3 linked regions of the Macaca mulatta genome follow. The protein of the gene in region 3 purifies or fractionates together with the protein of the main gene of each other region. This does not show direct contact. Links are inferred from orthologs where the notes say so. Each region holds a gene or a part of one and is shown on either strand. Other genes may lie near its edges. The genes, in order: ADAR, DHX30 and EIF2AK2.

Evidence for each region.
Region 1: the proteins of EIF2AK2 (region 3) and ADAR purify together in Homo sapiens (affinity purification with mass spectrometry; 3 studies listed by BioGRID and IntAct, with this or other methods). This does not show direct contact. The link is inferred for Macaca mulatta from reciprocal best matches to the Homo sapiens genes EIF2AK2 and ADAR.
Region 2: the proteins of EIF2AK2 (region 3) and DHX30 purify together in Homo sapiens (affinity purification with mass spectrometry; 3 studies listed by BioGRID and IntAct, with this or other methods). This does not show direct contact. The link is inferred for Macaca mulatta from reciprocal best matches to the Homo sapiens genes EIF2AK2 and DHX30.

The regions. Positions count from the first base shown.
Region 1 is NC_133406.1:112,398,956-112,402,602, reverse strand, and holds part of ADAR (double-stranded RNA-specific adenosine deaminase), read right to left. Parts: intron 2,047-3,647; coding exon 464-2,046; intron 1-463. UniProt on the Homo sapiens protein: Catalyzes the hydrolytic deamination of adenosine to inosine in double-stranded RNA (dsRNA) referred to as A-to-I RNA editing.
Region 2 is NC_133407.1:111,200,843-111,204,589, reverse strand, and holds the start of DHX30 (ATP-dependent RNA helicase DHX30), read right to left. Parts: upstream 2,221-3,747; 5' UTR 2,034-2,220; coding exon 1,697-2,033; exon of another isoform or gene 1,477-1,696; intron 1-1,476.
Region 3 is NC_133418.1:87,783,347-87,787,093, reverse strand, and holds the start of EIF2AK2 (interferon-induced, double-stranded RNA-activated protein kinase), read right to left. Parts: upstream 2,440-3,747; 5' UTR 2,379-2,439; intron 1-2,378.

The sequences.
Region 1 (3,647 bases), on a different chromosome or scaffold from region 3:
GATTCTCCTATCTCAGACTCCTGAGTAGCTAGGACTACAGGCACGTGCCACCACGCCTGGCTAATTTTTGTATTTTTAGTAGAGACAGGGTATCACCATGTTGGCCAGGTTGGTCTCAAACTCCTGACGTCGTGATATGCCTGCTTCGGCCTCCCAAAGTGCTGGGATTACAGGCATGAGCCACCGCATACGGCCAAAACCAATCATTTCTGAAGAAGCTTCATTACAGTCAACAGAGTCAACCTCCCCCTTGTTCAGCCAAGATTCTGGCTGGTCCAAGGTCTATATTCCCTGCTCAACATCTGCAGAAAGGGCCAATCAAGGGGGATTTAGCTAAAAGGCAGAAGGGAAGGAGGAAAAGATAGGAGCCACCAAATGGCACTGCTCACAAACTAGCCAAGACTGCGTCAGGAGCAAGAGCACCTGACCCCAACCCTAGGTACAGTCCTGGGTGGTCTCTTACCGAGGTTCATGGGGTGGTCCACTCTGCTCTATCATGTTGAACTCACAGGTTTGACTAGCGAACTGGGCATATTCTAACAGCCCGCTGATGGGGTTCTTCAGCTGGCACTCTGTCAGTTTCTTGTAGGGTGAACACCGTGGCAAGCCATGACTGTAGAAGGAGGGCATCTCCATGATGGCTCGAAACTCACCTGGTGCTGCGCGGATACTATTCAAGTCATCTGGGATGTCATCTGTGGCCCACTGGCCATTTTCAAAGTCAACATACCCTGCTTTTGAGGGGCCATTGTTATGAACAGGTGGTTTCAGTCTTACTGGTTCTGGTCTTGCCTCCTGACTGTTTTCTAACTTTATGACAGGTTCCTGCCCATTCTCCACTTTTTCGGTGGTTACTATGTTATTTGAGGCATTTGATGTGGGTATATTACAGGTGAGGAACTCTGTGTTTCTTTTGGTCTCAGGGATTGCAGCTGGAGCGGTTTCAGGAACACTGTTCGTATTTCTCTTGATTTGCATCCTCTCTCGCTTCTTGTCTGTCAAATGCCATATGGGAGGGGTTGTCCCTTGTCTATAGACATCCCCCTGCCTTTCCATGTCAATTAGCACGGCATTTATATCTCGGGCCTTGGTGAGGCCAATATTTTTAGCCAAATTCAGGGCAGAGGAGTCAGACACATTGAAGAGATAGTCGCAGATTTTCTCCTTGATCTCAGCCATGTCAAAAAACTCAAGAGGATCTTCCAAGGCAGATGTGGAGTTTCTGTCTTCAGGTTCCAAACTCGACTCTGAGTTTGGGGCTCCTTGGCTATGACCGTCTGGTCTTACCACTCCGCTGTGCTGGTTCCAAGCCTGAGCTGAGACTGAGATAAAAGGCTCAAGATCTTCTGAGACAGATGTGGAGTTTCTGTCTTCAGGTTCCAAATTTGGGTCTGAGTTTGGGGCTCCTTGGCTATGACCGTCTGGTCTTACCACTCTGCTGTGCTGGTTCCAAGCCTGAGTGGAGACCGCGATTTTCCACAAAGGGGGTGTTCCTGCCTCTTTCTGTAGCTTGCCCTTCTTTGCCAGGGAGTATAAAACTCGATTGATTTCTTTCTTTGGAGCCCCCAGTTTCCAAGACAGATCATGTGCTGTAGTGGCCTTCCCTTCCCCAAGCTCTTCCAAGAACTTTAAGATCCTTTGTTCCTGATCTTGGTTGATACTCAGTTCCTGGAATTGTGAGGAAAGGCAATCAACACCTCTCCGTGGCGGAATCCTGCCACGTGGTGAAGGATGCTGGAACCCTCTCTGGAGCCCCTGACTTCCGAGATGCACGCACCTGGGGACACCCCTGATATCCACTTGCCTGCCTCTGGTACTAGAGGCAGGTAGTACTGGAAACCTTGGCTGGAGTCCTGGGAGGGAAGGTGGCAGTGATGGTGTCTGCTTTCCAATCACCGGCGCTTCTGGGATCTGCCCCTTGAGAAACTCTATTTGCTTAAGCAGGAAACTATTGGGGGAAGATCCTGGCCCAGGCTGCTGGTATCTGAGCTTTCTGTGCTCATAGCCTTGAAATGGATGGGGGTAGTATCCGTTGAGGGAATACCCCTGCAGAATAAGACAGCAGAAAAGAAAATGAATTAGGGCTGCAGTGGTGAACCTGTGGAGGCCCCTCCCTTTGCTGCCTGTGGAACAGCCCTTGATGGGCTGAGAAGGCAATTGAGCCATGGGCTTATGACTCAGCTAGGGTGACTTGCCTACCTCCTAAAACCTGCCTAGGGGCCTGCCAACAGGAAGACGGAGAGGGGGGCAGGAAGCAAAGCCCGCAGAGCTTCCAGGAGCACAGAGGTTCTGAGGCCTCAGCATAGCCTCTCCAGCAACCTAACTTACTTTTCCCTTTGATGGAATTTAAGGGAGTTGAGAAGGAAATTTTCTAGTCAAAACAATTACCCTTTTAAAATTAGAACAACAAACAAATGTTATTTTGTTTTGAAAACAAAAACAGAAACCTGAAATAACCAGTACAATCACATGAAATAACCAAGGGAGAGGGGACTAGGGAAGGGACGAGATGACCTCTCCTTGAGTTGGGCTCACTAGCGCACAGCTAGTGCACCTCCGCCCACCTGTCTCTAAGATCTATCATTTGGATGACTATGACAAAAGAATAAATCTGATTGGATCAAACTGAACCCCAGTCCTCCAAGGCTGTAACAGTGCAGTAACAAAAACAACCTCCAGGTGGGAAAAGGCCACGGGACCTGAGAGTCATCTCTGTGGCTCTCCACTGCCATCCCGGGAGGATCAGAATTCCATTTTCAGGGAGCTGGAGGGTTTCCTGATAAAAATGGCACACTGTCCTCACTCTTCAGTGTGGTACCCAGGCTCAGAAGGGATGCCAGAGACTTTTGCCCAAACCACCCAGGCTCTCCTGGATGTGTGGAGCTGGCAGCATCTGCTCCTCACCACCTCAGACCAGCCCTCCTTCCCTAGCTACCTCCCCATAGCTGCTTCCACCGCATGTTCTTCTGAACCCTGACGGACAGGGCATAAGCAACTCCATGTTCTCATCTGCACATTTACCACAACACCGAGCACCTGTGACCCCTTTCCCCACCCACCCACCTGCAAACCAGTACTGTCTTCTCCCCAGGGCTGTTCATTGGAGGGTGATGGAGCCAAGAAGTACTTACAAGCCTGGGGGTGTCAGTAAATACCTTGCTTCCTGTCCCTGGGGCTTGCAGACTGGGAGAAGAGATTCTGGCAACATTTGCTCACACTCACCACCCCCTCCTCAGACTCTCCTGAAGGCTGCACAGGTAGAGCTGGGACCCTTTCTTGCATAACTCTAGCCTTCTACTCTTCCACATCCTGACACACTTAGGGGATTTTAGCATTCTTGTCAATCACTCTCACGGTGCCCTGGCTACAGGGATCCTTAACCCAGTAATCTCCATCTCTACCTTTCTGCCACACAATTGGCTTGTCTAGCTACTCCTTCAATCTCACTATGACTGTAACCTAGGCCATCACACCAAGACCTCAAATCCTGCAACTCTTTTACAGTGGCTGACAAACTTTTTCTATAAAGGGCCAGATAGCTCTGCCACTGTAGCGCAAAAACAGCCTCACACAATAACCAAACCTTTATTTACAGTTCATTTACCATGAAGTTTTATTTATAAAAACAGGTAGTCTGTACCTGTGGG
Region 2 (3,747 bases), on a different chromosome or scaffold from region 3:
CTGGAGATCAAGACAATGCAAGGCTCTTCCTAAAATAAGACACACACAAGAGAGACCTGGCCCCATGTATCTCAAGTGATGAGATCCAGATGCTGAATACCAGGCCCCAGCTCTCAACCATATCTAAGCACACTGCAAAAGGCTCCCACAGAACCAAACTATGTGGGGGGACTGATTAAAGACCTCTACATCTGGCTGGGCGCAGTGGCTCACACCTGTAATCCCAACACTTTGGGAGGCCAAGGCACACGGATCACGAGGTCGGGAGTTCGAGACCAGCAGCCTGGCCAACATAGTGAAACCTCGTGAAACCTTGTCTCTACTAAAAATAAAAAAAAATTAGCCAGGCCTGGTGGCAGGCACCTGTAGTCCCAGCTACTTGGGAGGCTGAAGCAAGAGAATCGCTTGAACCCGGGAGGCAGAGGTTGTGGTGAGGCAAGATCACGCCACTGCACTCCAGCCTGGGCAACAAGAGTGAAACTCCATCTCAAAAAAAGAAAAAAGAAAACCTCTATATCTGAGCAGGCATGAACTATTCCTCCCCCAAGTTCTCTGGAGTCAAGGGGAAAATTGATGCATCAGATACCATCAGAGGTACCTTGCTTCTTTTCACTTGTTTTTTGGATTAATCCCAGAGCAGAAAGGGAAGAGATATCTACCTGGAGTAAGCTTGTACCAGACACAAGGCTTAACCAGGTCATGAAGAGGTCTGCTAGGAATATGGGGGGACCATATCATTCTCCACTGTAGCCTCAGGCAGCTCCAAAAGGAGATGTAGATATGCACATGTGCACCTGGGTGTACACTGATCACCTGGGGAGCTTTTTCACTGCATGGGCATCCAGCTCCCCACAGGGGACCAGAGAATGGGAGCGATGTTGGAGGCGGCTCTACATTTTGAAAAAGTGCCTCCAAGCATTCTGATGTAACTCTGCTGCCTGGTTTGAGATTATTTCCTTGGGACAGACTCCTGTGTCAAGTGGCCAGGATGGAGGACACCTGATCCTGTCTCCCTCTAAGCGGTAACTTGTAAAGCAACTAAGAGTCAAGCAGTTAAGAAACCACATGTAAGTGGATTTGGGCGGGGCGGGGATGGGGGGGTTGGTCACAGAGGGGCCCAACTTTGAGTAGCCCACTACACCCACTGGTTTAACAAGAGAGCTGCACTGAGACCCCCCACCCCCCCACGCCCACTTCAGCTCTATAAGGTTGGTGAAGGCTGGCACTCTCTACCTATCCTTGATGCTTTCAACAGTTTTATTCTCTGCACTATTTGGGAGGCACAAAGCTGGAATCCACCAGAGCGGTCGTTCTGTCTCTATTTGAGATCCTGATGTCCCAGGAGTTATTTTGGGCTATTTCTCACACTGGTGAGGGCATGCTTGTCCCTAGAAGCTCTAGCCCTTGGCCACTCATCCTGGCAGGAGTTGGACTTTACTCGTTTTCCCCACTCCCTCGAGGTCTCGAACCTCTCACCTATTCTTGCTGGGAGCAGGCACTCGAAGGGTCCATTCGGGCCTGTGCCACGCTAAGCTTTACAAAGAGCAGGGCCGCTGCGCGCCGACGGATGGCGAACTTGGCCACTATGGAAGACAGGACCCCCCGCCGCCAGGCCCGATTTCGGCCCGCGTCCCTTGCTCTGCCATCCCAGGAGTCAAGGGCTCTGCGGACCGCCCGCCCCCGCCGATGCCCTCACCGTTCACCATGCTTCCGTCGCCTTCCCCAGGCCCGCCGGGGGCCATCCCTGACTCGGCCTCGGCGGCCTCCTTGGTGCGGTCGGGGTGGGCGCAGCCTGATGAGAAGCAGCGCGAGCGACCCTGTCGCCCGGCAGCGCGGGGACCCAGCGGCCGCAGGCGCGGAGAGACGCCGGCGGCCAGCGCCATGAGTCTCCTGGCAGCCGCCATCGTGTTCCCGCCGACCCCGCGGCCTACGCGCGGCAGGGACCGGGCGAAGAGAACTGGAGCGGCCGGTCCGAGCGCCGCGCGCCCCCTGCGGGCCGGGCGGACCCGAGGCCCGAGCCCAGGCGAGGGCATCGGCAGCCCGCCCTCGCTCACCACAGCCCCGGGCCTTCAGTAGGCGGCTCGGCGCGGCCCAGGGCTAGGACCCTGCCAAGCTCACTCTCCAGCAAATCCAAACCAGCTGTCATGTGGATGGGAGGCAGGAAGATGGAATGGGGCTTTTGGGGGGGAAATAATGCTAATCCTTAGCTCAATGTCATCTAAGGAAGTTTCAGTTAGTTCCCTCTAGGTCCTAGCAATTGTTCCTAACTACCGCTCACGTGCCTCTGGTAAATTGGCAGCCCCATCTTATTTAATGGCTTACAAAGTAAACCTGGTAAAGATCTGGAGCCAGGGCCGGGTGTGGTGGCTCACGCCTGTAATCCCAACCCTTTGGGAGATTGAGGCGGGTGGATCCCTTGAGCCCAGGATTTTGACCAGCCTGGGCAGCATAGTGAAACCCCAACTCGGCCGGGCGCGGTGGCTCAAGCCTGTAATCCCAGCACTTTGGGAGGCCGAGACGGGCGGATCACGAGGTCAGGAGATCGAGACCATCCTGGCTAACATGGTGAAACCCCGTCTCTACTAAAAAATACAAAAAACTAGCTGGGCGAGGTGGCGGGCGCCCGTAGTCCCAGCTACTCGGGAGGCTGAGGCAGGAGAATGGCGTAAACCCGGGAGGCGGAGCTTGCAGTGAGCTGAGATCCGGCCACTGCACTCCAGCCTGGGCGACAGAGCGAGACTCCGTCTCAAAAAAAATAAAATAAAATAAAATAAAATAAAAAGAAACCCCAACTCTATTAAAAGTTTAAAAAATGAAAAAGAAGATCTGGAGCCAGGCCAAGGAAGACCTCTTCAACATAAGCAGAAACATTTAATCCCCAGAGCTGGAGGGGAAGGCAAAAATACCCAATTTTGGACACTGCCAAGAATTGAGTTGGTCCAGCGTAAAGTCCAGCAGTCAAAGTACTGTTCCTCACCAGGCGCAGTGGCTCACGCCTGTAATCCCAGCACTTTGGGAGACGGAGGTGGGCAGATCATGAGATCAGGAGATCGATACCAGCCTGACCAACATGGTGAAACTCCATCTCTACTAAAAATACAAAATTAGCTGGGCATGGTGGCGCATGCCTGTAGTCCAGGCTACTCGGGAGGCTGAGGCAGGAGAACTGCTTGAACCCGGAAGGTGGAGGTTGTAGTGAGCCAAGAGCAAGCCATTGCACTCCAGCCTGGGCAACAAAAGTGAAACTCTGTCTCAAAAAAAAAAAAAAAGGCCAAACACGGTGGCTCACACCTGTAATCCCAGCACTTTGGGAGGCCGAGGTAGGAGGATCACGAGGTCAGGAGATTGAGACCATCCTGGCTAACACGATGAAACCCCATCTCTATTAAAAATTTAAAAAAATTAGCCAGGCATAGTGGCGGGCACCTGTAGTCCCAGCTACTCAGGAGGCTGAGGCAGGAGAATGGTGTGAACCTGGGAGGTGGAGCTTGCAGTGATCACGCCACTGCACTCCAGCCTGGGCAACAGAGTGAGACTCTGTCTCAAAAAAAAAAAAAAAAGTACTGGTCCTCACTTGCTGGAAAGCCAAATAGGATTTCATTTCCAAAATATTCTGCCTGGATCTTAGCCAGGTTCATTCCTCTTCTGCCTCCTATGGCCGTGAAGAGCAAGGCTTTGGGTCAACTGGGAATCAGACTGAATCTGCATGTTGCGGGTAGTGACAGTGCAGAGCCAGGGCCTCAAGGT
Region 3 (3,747 bases):
CTGATTAATAAATGAATAAACGGTGGGGGGCGGTGGCTCACATCTGTAATCCCAGCACTTTGGGAGGCCGAGGTGGGTGGGTCACCTGGCCAACATGGGGAAACCCCGTCTCTACTAAAAATACAAAAATTAGCTGGGCATGGTGGTGCATGCCTGTAATCCCAGCTACCCAGGTGGCTGAGGTAGGAGAATCACTTGAACCCTGGAGGCAGAGTTGCAGTGAGCTGAGACTGCACCACTGCACTCCAGCCTGGGCAACAGAGCAAGACTCCATCTAAAATAAATAAACAAACAAACAAACAAACAAACTACAGGTCAAGTATTCAGGATCTCCAGGTTCAAATAAACAAACTGAAAAACAATAGCATAATCTGCCCAAGATTCTAAATTTCCAAGTGACATCAGAGAGCCTGTCTTTTACCTTCCATCTGGCATGGCATTTTTAGTACTAAAGAAAACATGGGACCATGTAATCCTCATGCCTGTAATCCCAGCACTTTGGGAGGCCGAGGCAGGTGGATCACCTGACATCAGGAGTTCGAGACCAGCCTGGCCAACATGATGAAATATACTAAAAATATAAAAATCAGCTTGGTGTGGTAGTGTGTGCCTGTAATCCCAGCTACTCAGGAGGCTGAGGCAGGAGAATCACTGGAACCCTGGAGGCAGAAGTTGCAGTGAGCCGAGATCAAGCTACTATACTCCAGCCTGGGCGACAGAGTGAGACTCCATCTTGAAAGGAGAAAGAAAAGAACAAAGAAGGGAGAGAGAGAGAGGGAAACAAGGAAACAAGGAAGGAAGAGAAGAGGAAAAAGAAAAGAAAGGAGGGAGGGAGGGAAGGAAGGAAGGAAAGAAGGAAACATGGGCAACAGGACGCCTCATTATTTTGGAATTCAAAAGGGAGTTTTTGAATTACCATTCATTTAGCAAACATTTAATCAGCACCTATTATGTACTAGGTGCTGGGACTATACTAGTGAACCCTGCTATAGGTAATTGTGAAATTACCAGTGGAGGAACAACCCATAAGAAAATGTCACCGGGTGGCCGGGCGCAGTGCCTCATGCCTATAATCCCAGCATTTTGGGAGGCTGAGGTGGGGGATCACAAGGTCAGGAGTTTGAGACCAGCCTGGCCAATATGGTGAAACCCCGTTGCTACTAAAAATTAAAAAATTAGCTGGCTGTGGTGGTGGGCACCTGTAATCCCAGCTACTCGGGAGGCTGAGGCAAGAGAATCGCTTGAACCCGGGAGGCGGAGGTTGCAGTGAGCCAAGATCGCACCACTGCACTCCAGCCTGGCAACAGAGTGAGAATCTGTCTCAAAAAAAAAAAAAAGAAAAGAAAAAGAAAGAAAAAAAAAAGAAAAGAAAAGAAAAAAGAAAAGAAAAGATATCACCAGGTGGTAACTACTATGTTGAAAATTGAGGTAGTGGAAGGGGGAACAGCAAGGGCAGAGTGGGGTTTCTTGCATATGCAGGTTGTTTGAGGAAGTCTGCTCTGATAAGCTGGCATGGGAAGCAGTGTAGGATAAGGGAGGGGTTTCCCCATGCAAGTATCTGAGGGAGAAGCTTTCCAGGAAGAAGAAACAGGCCAGTGTAAAGGCCTAGAGGCTGGAGGATGCTTGGCTGTGCGCCAGGAACAGCAAGGAAGCTAGCATGGGCGGAGTAGGGGGTGCAAGGGACCTTGCCGGTGAGCCTTAATAAATGTTTATAGGATTCTGACGAGACAGGAAAGCTATGGGGAAGGTCTGAGCAGGGCAGAGTCTGGTTCTTACTTAAAGGAACATTCCAGTTGCTGAGGTGTGTAGAAGAGGTAGGGGGTGGAGGTTCGGGGGTAAGGAGACGGAGTGGGAACAGGAACCGAGGCCAGGCAATTGGGAAACTACTGCAACTCTCCATGCAAGAGATTTTTAGCCAGAGATTGTTCAGCCAGTCTATGAGTATTTCAGGCCTCCGTATTTTCCATATGTCAAGCCACTAGGCCTATTCATCATCCACTAGACCCAGCCCCACAACCGCTGCCTATTTATTTGTTACTATTTATTTATTTGTTTATTGTTTATTTGTTATTTGTTACTATTTATTTGTTACTTGCACTGATAAAAATTCTTCGCGGGAAGAAAATGGCTTTCAGTCCCCATCCCGCTCCACGATCCTTTCCCTGGATTCAGGGAGGGCCCCACACCCGGGCTGTGGGCCTCGGACTGCTCTCCCATTGCTGACCCAGCCGGGGCCAGGGGCTTCGGATCAGCTTCCGCGTCCTGAGCTGGGGACGCAGGATCGGCGGGTCCCGCCCCGGCTGGGCCCGCAGCCCCTATCCCGTGGCCCCCCGGCCCCTGCTCCCTGCGCTCCCTCGGCTGCCCCCGGCCCCGCTCACCTGCGCCGCCGCCGCCGCCGCCGGCCAGAGATCCGCAGCTTCGGGAGAGCTGACTCTCAGTTTCGTTTTCCCCTCGGACTCCGCCTTCCCTGCAGCCGCCCGGCCCCCTCTCGCACAAGCCCTCGTCTGCTACGGGATTGGGGTAAATTGGCACTGGATCCAGAGTGCGCGCGAGAGGCGCCGGCGGCCGGCACTGGCGGGCGGGCTTGTCACCCATGTGCAGCCCCTGCGCGGCCAGGACCCCGCACCCCCAACCGCCTCCCCCTCCCCGCCCCGGGGCTCCTGGAGCAGGTGGCTTTGGCTGCATTAGGTTCTGGAATCAAGGGTTCCACTTACTCTAAACACAAATATTTGGAGAGGGGTTGGGAAGATGGGTCTTAGCAGCTCCATTTTACAATAGAGGAAATTGAGTAAATGAACTTACCTAGGGGTCCAGCGGCTCGTAAGTGGGAAAGCCAGGATTCAGTTAAAGTCCAGGCCTGTAAACACCAAAGCGCCCCTCCCCACTTGCCACACCACTGCCCCCTCACTTTTACAAGGCTGGGGATGCGAGGCCTGGGGGCGTAATCTCCTTCACTCTGCTCCCACCCATCCATTCACTCATGAGCAGACACTTGTCAGCCGCTGTAAAAGCACCTGCGGGCCAGTCCTGCTGTTAAAGAGAGCCACCTGCTCCCTACAGTACCCCAGGGAGTTTCCTACTATAGTCCAACACCAGTAGTCCTCGATTTATAGAAATTCTACTCACCTGATGGACTGTGACACACTCCCAGAGTCACACAGAGTTCCACAGTCATTGGCACAGTGACTAATGAGTATTGAGGCACAGAGGAGTTAGATTAACACAACTAGTAAGCAGCGGAGTTAGAACTATAACCAGGAGTCTGTACTCTCAATATCTTAGCTGGGATAAGAGAGGGAGGTGGTCCCAAGACAGACCTCAAATATACTTTAAATATTATGCCTAGGCCGGTGCAGTGGCTCATGCCTGTAATCCCAGAAATTTGGGAGACCGAGGGGGGGCAGATCACCTAAGGTCAGGAGTTCAAGACCAGCCTGGCCAACATGGCAAAACCCCATCTCTACTAAAATACACAAAAATTAGCCAGGCGTGGTGGCGGGCACCCGTAATCCCAGCTACTCCGGAGGCTGAGGCAGGGAGAATTGTTTGAACCTGGGAGGCAGAGGTTGCAGTGAGCTGAGATCGTGCCACTGCACTCCAGCCTGGGCTACAGAGTGAGACTCCATCTCAAAAAAAAAAAAAAAAAGAACATTATACCTAGGCAGCCATCTACTCCAGCCTCCCTTCTCCATCCCCCTACAACCCCGCATTGCAGGGTATCAACAACTAAAATCTACACTGTAGCTC